Linked DNA regions of Canis lupus familiaris. The protein of the gene in region 3 purifies or fractionates together with the protein of the main gene of each other region. This does not show direct contact. Links are inferred from orthologs where the notes say so. Each region holds a gene or a part of one and is shown on either strand. Other genes may lie near its edges. The genes, in order: PDE6D, ACSL4 and FBXO10.

Region 1 (4,182 bases), on a different chromosome or scaffold from region 3:
CATCCTTAAAAATAAATAAATAAATAAATAAATAAATAAATAAATAAATAAATAAAATTTGTTCAACTAAAAAGGAGATGAACAATATATTGATGGAAAATATTTGCAACATACAGAACAGGCAAATGATATTAAGGCACACACACAAACCAGTAAGTAAAAAATTCAATAGTAAAATGGGCAAAAAACAAAATCAACAAGTGATTCACAGAAAAGGAACTGCCAAACAGAAGATTTTGCAACTTCTCTAACAATAATAAGAGCTAATATATAATGTTTACTAGGCATCAGGTGCTTTTCTAAATGCTTCAGCTATCAACTCATTCAATCTTCGTAACAACCCTATGAGATAAGTACTATTTTTAACCCCATTTACAGATGAGGAAATTGAGGCTGAGGTTAAATGAGTTGCTCAGGGACAACCAAGAGTGTAGGGCTGGGATTCCAACACAGAACAGCTCTACAGTCCAGAATTCTTCTTAACCACTATGCTCTATTACCTGTCCAGGGATCTAGATATCCAGGGAAATACAAATTAAAATAAGGTATCACTTGTCTAAATTGGCAAAAATATAAAAGACAGAGTCAATGTGGAACTGAGCACTGTCAACATCGCTGGTAGGAGACTCTAATGGTGCTTTCTTTTGGTAGAAAAAAACTCTTACAGAAACAGATTCAATGAAAGTTCAGAAAAACAATTCACCCAATAAAAAAGGTGGACAATAAGCAGTTTGTTTTACTAAAAGATTGTGTTTTCCTGAAGGTAGTAGCAAATTCTAGAACTCCTTTCCTTTCTCTCTTAATCCTCAGATGTCAATAAAGGCTACCAGAGGATGAGCATCCTCTTGCTCCCATGCTAACTTTTTTATGCGGCTGCTTCCCTTGAGATTTAATCAGCTCAGGTCAAACCTTCTCTGAAAGCCTGTTTCTTAATACACTAACGTCATCATTGAACTGGTTAATTCACCTGATGATGATTTCTACTCTTTTCCACATGTGTCCCTTAACCTCTTTCTCAACAGCTTCAAGAGCCCAGACTGAGGTAAGAAGTTTCTTTGTTTGAAAACCATTAAAAAGATTCTTTCTTGTTTTCAGCAGTATGTTAATTCCAATTGGACCAAAAACGTTGCTTCTGAAATCTCTCAATTCCCCAGTCTCTGATTTTACTATCTACAGTATACATGTAACTAACAATACAAATTACTTAGGGGAAAAATAAAATCCATGTCACAGCTTTTCTAAGACTTCAGCCATCCCTATTTACTTATAGGTGCCATTATGAAAAAAGACACCGAAAGGTACACGAAGCTATAAAAAGAGGCTTTTACTAAACTTTACCACGAATGACCTTATGCCTAGTGTATAATGCCTTCCGTTTTTTTTCAAAAGAAGCATAGCAGATCAGCTTCCATTTGAAACTTTTCATTTGTATATCTAAAATGTCCTGTAACTTTTTTGTTGTTGTTGTTGTTGTTGCATTTTGGGTTCTAAAATTTACTACCAACTTGCTTTCTGACTGTGAAAAGCAATTAAAATTTCCAGCGGTGAAATGGGCATCGTGAAAACACAAAGGCAGCTCAGAGAACAGTGCTTCACTAAATCTCCTTTGGGGGGGTGGGGGGAGACCTAAAGTGATGACTACAACTTCACGGAGAGAAGAATTTGAGAACGTTCCATTTTGTACGCACGGGATGTAAAAAGAGATTTAAGCTCAGCAGGAAAATGTGAAATTGGAATGTCCAGGTTTGCCTATTTTTCATCCGCATCCTATGGTCACAGACAGACACTCCATTTAAACACGAGGCTTCCTAATACGTTAAAGAGAGAAAGAAGGTTGCACAAGCGGCACCACAACAGGCCAGGCCTGGGGCAATGATTTCTAGATCCTGCTAAATCCTACCGTGTCCCCAAAGTAATCAAATAATTGCTGGACAGCTCCACCTGGTCTCCGCGTGAACCTCACAAACGCAAGCGCGCAGATACCTTTGCCAGGAGTCCCGGTGCAAAACCAAAACACCTCAAGGCATCTCACGCTCGAGTGCAGGGTCCTCACTTCGCTGGACAGAAAAGTGAAAGGCTGAGAGAGAAGCTGCCACCATCCAGTGCCTCACAAGGCCAAGAGAGTGTTAAGATGAGGTGGATCCCGGGCTTCTCTTGGCCCACCTTCCTCTCTGCTCCAGCCCTGGAAGGAGCCACAAGTGAGGCAGAGAAGTTGTGGAAACAAGGAGGGGGTGGCGTAGAGGGGGGGACGGGGGAACCCGGGAGAGTTCAGCACAAGCATTTGCATTTGTCCCACCCAAGGTCACTCGCTCCGAGTCACTTTTCCCTGCTCCCCCGGGGCCTTCCCGCCAAACGGGCTGCAGGGCTGCGAGGCCAGCCCCCCGCGCCCCTCGGCCCTCCCTGCGGGCCGCAGCCCCCCTTCTGGCCTCCGGGCGCGGGCCGAGGCTCGGACCCAAGCCGGCCTCACCGCCACGCGTTTCCGACGCCCGCCGCGTCTCCCAGCCCAATTCGGACAGGGGCTCCTCCACTCCAGCCCCCGGCTCCCGGCAACGTCTCCTTCCTCCCTCAGGACGCCCCCTGCCCCGCCTCCAGTACCCGGTCCCGCCGGGGGGACCGGGACGCCGTTCCCTCGGTCCCCTCCGTCCCCTCCCGCCGCGCTCCCGTCCCGAGCCCAGCAGGCGCGGCCCCCGCCCCCGGCCCGTCTCCTCCGCCAGCGGCCGCCCCCCAAGTCCTCCCGGCCCCGCCCCGCCCCACTCCCGGGCGGATACAGTTTGAAGCCCTTCAGGATCTCCCTGGCCCTCTCGTCCTTGGCTGACATGATGCGGCGGCCGCCGCCCGCGGCTCTCCCACGCTGGCCCGGCGGAGCCTCGCAGACGGTGCCCAGGAACCGAGGACGGAGCCGCAGCGCGGCCTGGAGACCTCCAGCGAGCAGCGGCAGCGGCCAGACCCGGACCGGCCTCTCCCTCCCCTCAGCTCCCGCTCCTGATCCCTTCTCCTTCCCCCTAGCCTCGGAGCGCCCGCCCCAAAGCCAATGGAAAGCCCTCCTCGCCGATTGGCATCCCGAGCAGCCAATAGAAACATTCAGCGGCTTCGCCGGGGGACGACGAGCGTCAGTGGGAAGGGCCCTCCCCGGGAAGTCCCGTAGGACAAATTTTTCTTTAGGTCTTGTTGCCTAGAGTTTGCCCCAGCGGAGGGTTGGCTTCAGATCTGCAGAGGCTCGAGGGGCCCGCTCCCTCCGCGGGGCACACTAGGGCGCTGAAATGACGGCGGGTTGCCCTGTGCGATGTGAGAGAGACTACATTTCCCAGCATTCCGGGGGAGTGCCCGGGGGAACCACAGATCCCATCACGCAACAAAGAGGCCCGGGGACTACAAATCCCAGCATTCCCTGCACCCTGTTCCTCTGTAACTTAGACTCCAGTGTGCCGCGCAGTGTGCGCAAATTCGTAAACCTTCCCTCAGCCTTGGGGGTTTCTGAATTCGGAGACTTGAAACTGGGCGGGAAGACCCCCTTAACTCTCAGAAGAGGATGACAGCCCACAGGGAGGTAACATCTGTTTACATGGAACTCAGAAATCTCCTGCAAATCATGGTAAGGCTGCAAACAACAAACAAAAACACTTGATTAAACCACGGAAGATAAAATGACTCCTTTAAATCGTGCTTGTTTGTTGGTCTGGGGCGCCTTTTACTTGTTTTGCAGGGGTTTCTGGTGTGCTCCTGCGTTGGGCTGGGAGAGATATGGATCGTATACTCAGACTCTCCCTACCGGAAGGGATATTAAGAGAATTTGCCAAACCACCCTCTGTTGTTTTACATACGAGGAAACTGAGGCCCCAGAGAGGCGAAGCGATCGTCCACTGGTTACAGCAACTTGGGACAGAGTTAGAATTCGGCTCTAAGTCTCCTGACCCTCAGTTTGGGCTGTTTACACCACACTGAGGTGGCGATATTTTTAGCAGCATGGCTGTGTGATTATTATTTTCCTTAGTGAAGTATCCTCATCCAGGTTGAAACACCCAGAGGTTAGGTAAGCATTCATTTTGGTGGATTTCCTGTAAGTGAAGGAGTGTGATGTTTGTTTATCTTCAGTCTAGGAAGGACTTAGTGTTTTGATTTGTTATTTGTTGCTCAAGGTGACATTTAATGTGATTTCAGGAACTAGGTAAAATTGTAGCGTAA
Region 2 (3,621 bases), on a different chromosome or scaffold from region 3:
AGCTATTAAATGCAGGCCTGTAATAAACTCAATTATTGGGCATTTTCATGTCCTGTCAGAGAACACTACCATGAATTCAAAGAAAAAATTTTATTTACCTTAAGTTTACTTTCTAGAAGTTCAACACTAGTAATCAGGTAGGTAGCCTCAGATTCATTTAACCCATGAACTACAGCTTCTTTGCCAAGTGTGGCATATAAAGTCACAACTACATAACAAAAAATAAAACACATGTTAACTGATACTCATTTATGAGGTACATTGTTTAAGTCAGCCTTTTGTGATGGGTACACTCATGGATGCAAAAACATTTTATAATGTCATTAGATTTCATAGTCTCCACTATTACCTTTAAATATTGCCTGAAACTTCCTGGTAGCCCCAATTTCTCCTTACAAATAAATTCTCAGGATTCTAACATCCTAAACCTGAAGAAATGCAGCAATACTGGAAGTGCTACAACTGTTCAAAAATTAGTCAATCAAGATTCTCAAGGCCCATAAGTTTCTGGCTGAACTCTTAACTTAGGTCAGACCAAGCCCACCTAGAACTACCCTGTGACAAGCGCTTTCCTTGGTCATAGCACCAAAAAATGGGTAAGTCCTTGAGAATCTTCAGACTGAGGATCTTAAGTCAGAATCATGTTATCATTCCTTTTAGGGAGTTTTTTTTTAGTGGGCCCAGTGTCCAAGTTGATTGGTGACCTTCAAGCTGTAAGTGGGTGGGCCTATATTTTGGAGCTACCAGACAAAGGAAACCTAAGCTGAAACCAAGATCAGTTAGAATCAAGGGACATCTGCTAAACTTAGATCAGATTGGAAATTCAGCTCTACCCTTGTCCTGTGGGAGATAATAATTTCCACTTTGGAGTTGGATAAATGACTTTGCAAACCCAGAAAACTGTAAAAGTAAGTATAGGGATGATAAAAATTTGGCAATCATATCTAATGTCAGTTCAAGCTGTTATGTGCTCATTTCACATGTAAAATGGAATAAGTCAAAGAGGAGGCCTCGAAATGAAGCAGTGAACTAGAATAATCCTAAGCAATGATTGTTTGTTTTAATCATTATTTTGTGTGTCGCTTCCTAAATCATACCCCCAAATCCCAAATCTTTCAGGTATAATTCACTTCCAATTGAAAAGTAAAATTCTAAATTGTGTCCATTAAGCTGCCAATTCCCATACTGGCTCTAAGAAATTAACTTTCTTTAACAGGAATCATCAGAGAGCTTTTCACCTCAGCATGTACTGTTTTATGTATAGAACTTATGCAGAAAAATTGCTAAAGACCACCTACCATGAAAACAATAGGATTGCAGGACAATTTCACATGTTACTAAAAACCTCTTTCCTCCCCTTCCAAAAATGTAAGGCACTTACGAGGGAAGTTGTACTTAAAGCAGGTCTGAGCTGCAATCATCCATTCGGCCCTGGTCTCACAGAAAATGGCAATAGTGTTCTTTGGTTTCAGTCCCAGTGCAGTGAGTCCACTACCAAAATTATTCACTCTGCAGTTCACTTCAAGATAGCTCATCCATTTATAACTCCCAAGAATTAACTGTTAAATGGAGACATGCTCTAATATGAGTATATTTATTCAAACAAGCAATTAAAAGGCTATTCAAAGTATAGAACTCTAAAACTGCCTTTAAGTAAATATACAGAAGCTGTGAGCACCTTCTGTGAATTGGTTACACAGCATATTTACATGGAATAGCAGCATATTTAAAAATGCGTTTGATGTATGCTACAGGGAAGCATACCTTCCCCTTCAAAGAAAAATTATAAAGCACAAAGATGCCATACCTTCTTAAAAACCTTTCCATTCGGCTGCATTTCATTTTCTTCACTTAGGATTTCTCTGGTCCCGAGGCTGTCCTTCTTCCCAAACTTGGACACGGCATGATCAAATAACTTATCCAGAGTGTCAGCTCCGGGGATGTCTATGACAGCTAGTGAGTCGAAGTGCGTGACAGAGCGATATGGACTTCCAGGTTTGTCTGAAGTGGGCTTAGCTTTTATTCTCTTTGCCATAGCGTTTTTCTTCTTGGCATTGGTAAGAAAATACCATGGAATAAATATAAGGGCACTGTATATTGTTATTAACAAGTGGACAGGCAGCAAAATAATGGTGAGCACGTTTAGCCTAAGTTTCATAGTGGCAAGGCTTCTACAGTGGTGTTTATTTCTTGTTATTCTTTGGCTGCAGAAAGCCTTATTTTGCTGAAGAAGGCAATAACGGAAGCAGCAGTAAGAGTAGCAGTATAGCCAAGGCAGTTCAATTTTAATGATACAGATAAAAGTTAGTAATCTTTGGAAGCTGACAATAAAGTACACCTGTAGGTGAAGACAATGAACCAGGCAGAGAGCAGGAAAAAAAAAGACAAAACAAAACAAGAGCATTAACAAGTTGATAGCAATATTGATTTAAATACTCAGGTCTTCAGTAGTTTATATCATTGATCTGATACAGAAAGTTGAAATAACTGGTCTGAAAGACTGGCACTTTCCATTTTTAAGCATTGCCATAAACTTCTGAATTTAATTTTGTCTGGGTTTTTAGGGATACTCTACTCTGAACATCACTCTGCAAGTCACTTGAGTGACACTACTTTCATGCTTATACAAACATATGGCAGGGATAGTAAAGTTTGGTTGAACCTTGGGAATGCCAATAATGAGGTTTCTCTTAAATATGTAGATAAACTGGGTAGATTTAAGTAGGGTTAGGTTTTGTACCTGAAATGGGAGAAATACCTCCCCTTCCCCCCCCCCCCCCGATTTATGCTTTTTTCCCAACCATCAACCCAGAAATGCTATTCTGAGCTCTCGTTAAGGTCAATTTCTGAGGTAATGCTGTTCACTAGCTCCTATCCGTCCCCAACTGTTAAGCAGTATAATGGCCAAGTCATTTCCTAAGTGTTCGTTTTGTGCTCAGAATTGCACCCAGTGCCTGGGAACAGCAGAAGCATGGGTCCAAACTAGTGTCATCCCCAGCCCTTGCTCATGACCAGTCAGCACTTTATGAGGCAATCAGCACACAAGTCAGATCCAGTGTTTTTCAAACTGTTTTTGGTGGGGCAGGGGCTGGGGGGGGCAGCTAAACCACTTCTTCAAATAAAAATTCATGCAGACTTCCCACCTAGGTGACTAAAGCAGAACTGCTCTGGCTTAATTGGGGCCTGGGGGTGTCCAGGGCCCCACCCTGGACTGCCAGGAACCCCACTCCCAGAGCAACCACCGCTGAAACATTTCCAGGGAAGAGCCTTGCAGAAAGAGTGAAGTGCTATGGTGTGTGGTACATGCAATAAATGCAACAGGCATTCAGAGGGAGGGCAAGCAGGCTCTGTGGAGAGGAGACTTATTAAACTGGCCCCAGAAAAGGAGAGAAAGAATGGAGAGCATTCCAGGCAGGGAAGCCACATGGAGAGACACAGAGGTAGGAGTGAAAGGGCTTTGAGGGGCTGGAGAGTGCCAATAAGGAGGCACTCACTAGCCTGAATGGGGCACAAAGTGCATGCACATTGACTAAAGAGCTTATGGTAGTACAGGATCTGACAGATCAGACAAAGTAATTTTGATTTGATTGGGCACAAAACCAGGGGCTATTGCAGGTCAGA
Region 3 (4,328 bases):
TTAGAGGTAAACAGATATGCTTAGCTCAAGCAAAGGAGGGGGAAGAAAGTTCACACTCCTACACTTGTTCTTCCTTCCAAATCTAGGCCCATGTTTGCCCACCTGTAACCTATGGAACACAGTGTTATTGAAATGGTAACTTACTTATGGAAGAACTTCAAAAAGCAATGATAAGGAGTTTAATAATGAAACTCAGTGGTAGTAGGAAGAACACTAACCTGATTGAGGAGCAAAATTCTAAGATTGTATCCCTCTATAAAATCTGTGGAATAATATTTTCTCCCAATTATCCACATTTCTTTTTATGCTCCATTTTAAGTTTACAAAACTCCAATCTGCTATGGTTCTTTCCTATTTCACATTTCACCTTCAAACCAAATGTATGCACATGGCCAATTGTTTTCTGATGTACCATGTTCAAACTGTTTATTAAGTATTAGACACCCCACAACCCTGTGGAGTTTATGACCTGAATTTTTAAAAAGTCAGTGATAAAAAAAAACACACCATCACATTTCCCTTACCCTAGCCTGAACATCTGCTGGAAACCAGGGTAACAATCACACATCCCAAGAAAAGCACTTAAGGACAGGATACAATAAGCAAGCATTAAAAGCCCCTCAACCTTGGGACAGCTGTTATTAGCCACCAAATCTTCCAGAGTCTCAAACTCCTCATCTGCAAAATTAACAATGTTATTAGATAATGAATTTAAGTAATGTTGAAGTTTGCATATAATTAGAATTAAGCATGCTATCTCACAACATCTGAAAATATGAATGAAACCTACTAATGCAGTGATTGCTAGCACAAATCACTTCTAATCACCTTATACCAAACACTAACCATTAACAATAAATAGCATTTGGCAAATGTTAGGCACTGTGCTAATGGCTCCACTTGCATTCTCTTACTTTATCCTTACATACGCTGAAGTAGATAGATATTCCCACTATGCTAATTTTATAGGTGAAGAAAATGAGATATAGAGGTTCAGTTGCTAAAAGTCATTCATCTCCCAAGTGTTGGAATCAGGAAACAAAATCAAGTCTGCTTGTCTTTAGGGCCAGTGACTGTGACCATGGTGCTATTTACCGCACCTCCTTAGGTCAGGAATGGATCTAAATTACCAACATGAAACACAGCATCACAGGGTAAAAACATATGCTATTTGGGTAAAGATGGTAGATCGAGCATAAATCTACTTCCACTCCCTCCTGAAATTCCATTAAATGACAGTAAAGATTTTCATTTTAAGGCATAAACCTAAAATAATTGAAAAAGAAGAGAGGAGACAATAGTAAAATGTTAGAAGTTGGAAACAGACAAGTAGCAAATAACATGGTAGCCCCAAGAAAACTAAAACAAACAACCCAATTTACATCCCAGAATCCCTAAAAGGTTCAGGAACCAAGATCTTCATCTACCTTTGGAAGTAGGAGTGAAGGAGTAGACACTAAAATAAGGATTGGTTGAAGATCTAAGTATTTGGAATGCTCTCTGCAATTCTACATAACATTAAGCAGCTTCTTGCTCAGCTCCCTTTCATAAGTAGTTTATTTTCTGAAAAGGGTAAAATAGAGGGTTCTCTGGATTATGGGATGCCAGGCAGGGATGGGCAGAAGTACTATACTCAATGCAGACTCAAATGCATACTAGACAGGAGATAAAGAAAACAAGATACAGAAACAAGAGATCCAACATGGGAGAAGAGGAAAGGAATTCTCAGGATTGCAGTGAAGGGAGTTCCCAGAATACAGCCCTTTACCAGGCACAGGAGACTACAGTCCAGACTGGGACAGGTCAGAAAGCCCTAGGAAAGACTTACTTGACAAGATCAAACAGAGTATCTAGTGAAACTGAACACTGGGATCAATTTAGATACTTGACAAAAAGTCTAGTTGATTTACTGGTAAGTTCATAGAAAATGAAGCCTAGGAAAACAAAAAGACGTATAGGAAAAGAAAACAAACAGCATTTAGAGTTCTTATGAAATTAATTCAAACAAAAGCACACTAGGTACATTGGAAGGAAGAAGAAATGAGGAGAGGTTAAGAGTGATGGAGTTAAGGAGAGGAAAGAGACCTAATTCTTCCATACATGGAGAAGGCAAGGTCTAAAGAGAAAATTCAAAAAATAACAATATAATCATGCTGTTTAGAGACATGAAGGTAAATACCAAAGCAATTAGCTAAAAAAGAGGTAACTGTAGTTGCCTCTGGGAAGAAGGTTAAGGACTGTCCCCTTCCTCCAATAAACTTAGAGAACTATCTGATGTAAAATACAGCATTTTTTCCTTTGGTGGTACTATAGATTCCCAGCATCAAGCAGTAATGTTGCCTTTCATACATAAAGATTGCTCAACAATAAAATAATGTCACTTTATCAGCATCAGCAAATCCTTCAGTCCAAAACAAGAGGAACTCAGTTTAATGTAGTTTGTAATAATTACAACATCAAAGAGGTCTGCAGCAAAAAGTAGGTTAAGAGAAATAAAATCCCAATTTTTTTCTTAGTTGATACTTTAATTAAAAATATAGACCAATGGTCCTGTGCTCAAGTGTTGTTGTGGCTGTGTGCTGGCTTTTGTAAAATATAACTAATCATAAGGAACAATTCAGCATATGTACTCCAGAAAGAAGTAAAAATGTAAACAGAAATTAGCAAGACAGTGCTATTGTAGACAGAATTCCCTTATAATTAATACTTGTTAGAAAATAGAGTTTGACATTACTTACAATTATATCAACATTCACAGAAGCTGAACATCACAGGCATATGGGTGTACTATCACCACAAGATGTCTTTACTTCCCAAGTATTTTTAAACTTTAGCTATGAAGGTCAGTTACCAGAGCCACACTTGTTCTTAACAAGTAGAATTTTTATGTCCATTCATCAAAGAGTCTCTTACATCTTTCTGGGCCTATTCATTTGCAGATCGAGTAGAAATTGTAACTGGGTTCCTCATATCTCGCATTCACATGTGATGCCCATCTTCATATGCTGTCCAATTTCTTTAGGATAAAAGGTGCTGAAAGAAAAATAAACCCAGAATTTCAGATCTATTAGCCCAAAAGTTACATTACAGAATTTATAAGACTGGAGGGGAAATCTTAGAGATTTAGTTTACTACATTTTTAAAAACAACTCCAAATAATGGCCAAACCTGAGACTGCAAACCTAGTAAAAGAGACTCACTATCTTTCCAATGTCATGAAGCTCTGACTATATTCTAAGGTCCACTTTTACGCTATATAAAATCTTTTCTCCAGGTAGTTCTCTTACGACCATAAAGAACAAATTCAATCCTCCTTTAAAGGACACTCTTTTTACTTTGGGTGATTTAACCGTTAAAGGAATAAAACACTAGAAAAAACAAATTGCCATTTTTCACCTTTATAAACCTATCTGAAGGGTGCTGGGTAGCTCTGTTGGTAAAGGTCTGACTCTTGATTTCAGCTCAGGTCATGATCTCAGGGTCTGAGACTGAGCCCGGCACCAGGGGTCCCTGCTCAGCACAGAGTCTGCTTGGGATTCTCTCTCTCCATCTCCCTCTGTTCCCCTCTCCCAAATAAATAAAGCCATATAACACTTATGTAATCCAAATCATTTATGATACAATCTTACTTCAGTTCTTATAGGGTTTGGTATGAAGGTGCAAAGAGAAAGGGCTAGAAAACAAAAATGTTGTTAGAGGGATCTAAATCTAAAGAAGTGTTATGACTGTCCTATATTAAAAGTGCTCTGGCCGAAATAAAAAGCACACAAAAAGATGTTTAACATCACCAATCACTAGGACAATGCAAATTAAAACTACAATGAGATACCACTTAACACCCATTAGGATGGCTACTATCAAACTGTTGGCAAGGATGTGGAAAAATGGGAACCCTTGTGCACTGTTTGTGGGAATGTAAAATAGTACAGCTGCTATGGATCACAGTATGGTGGGTCCTCAAAAAATTAAAAAGAGATATCTGTATATCCATGTTATAGCAGAATTACTCACAGTAGCTAAAATGTAGAAGCAATCTGAATCCAAGACGGATGAATGGATAGCAAACTGTGGTATATGATAAAATATGATTCAGCCTTAAAAAGGAAGGAGATTCGGACATATGCTATCACATGGATGAACCTTAGGACTCTGCAAAGTCAAATAAGCCAGTTACAAAAAGACAAATATTGTATGATTCCACTTATATGAGAGCCTTAAGAGATGTCAAAATCACAGAGAGAGTTTTGGTTTTACAAGATAAAGAGTTCTGGAGATGGTGGTGATGGTTGTATAACATTATGAATGTTTTTGATACCACTAAACTGTAC

The links.
Region 1: the proteins of FBXO10 (region 3) and PDE6D purify together in Homo sapiens (affinity purification with mass spectrometry; 3 studies listed by BioGRID and IntAct, with this or other methods). This does not show direct contact. The link is inferred for Canis lupus familiaris from reciprocal best matches to the Homo sapiens genes FBXO10 and PDE6D.
Region 2: the proteins of FBXO10 (region 3) and ACSL4 purify together in Homo sapiens (affinity purification with western blotting; 3 studies listed by BioGRID, with this or other methods). This does not show direct contact. The link is inferred for Canis lupus familiaris from reciprocal best matches to the Homo sapiens genes FBXO10 and ACSL4.

Annotation. Positions count from the first base shown.
Region 1 is NC_049246.1:43,816,707-43,820,888, forward strand, and holds the start of PDE6D (retinal rod rhodopsin-sensitive cGMP 3',5'-cyclic phosphodiesterase subunit delta), read right to left. Parts: upstream 2,878-4,182; 5' UTR 2,819-2,877; coding exon 2,769-2,818; intron 1-2,768. UniProt on the Homo sapiens protein: Promotes the release of prenylated target proteins from cellular membranes. Modulates the activity of prenylated or palmitoylated Ras family members by regulating their subcellular location.
Region 2 is NC_049260.1:83,552,939-83,556,559, forward strand, and holds part of ACSL4 (long-chain-fatty-acid--CoA ligase 4), read right to left. Parts: intron 2,339-3,621; 5' UTR 2,159-2,338; coding exon 1,808-2,158; intron 1,560-1,807; coding exon 1,382-1,559; intron 209-1,381; coding exon 99-208; intron 1-98. UniProt on the Homo sapiens protein: Catalyzes the conversion of long-chain fatty acids to their active form acyl-CoA for both synthesis of cellular lipids, and degradation via beta-oxidation. Preferentially activates arachidonate and eicosapentaenoate as substrates.
Region 3 is NC_049232.1:54,227,118-54,231,445, forward strand, and holds the start of FBXO10 (F-box only protein 10), read right to left. Parts: upstream 2,869-4,328; 5' UTR 2,739-2,868; exon of another isoform or gene 2,403-2,738; intron 1-2,402. Other genes in the region: TOMM5 (mitochondrial import receptor subunit TOM5 homolog), read right to left, coding at 2,999-3,033. UniProt on the Homo sapiens protein: Substrate-recognition component of the SCF (SKP1-CUL1-F-box protein)-type E3 ubiquitin ligase complex. Mediates the ubiquitination and degradation of BCL2, an antiapoptotic protein, thereby playing a role in apoptosis by controlling the stability of BCL2.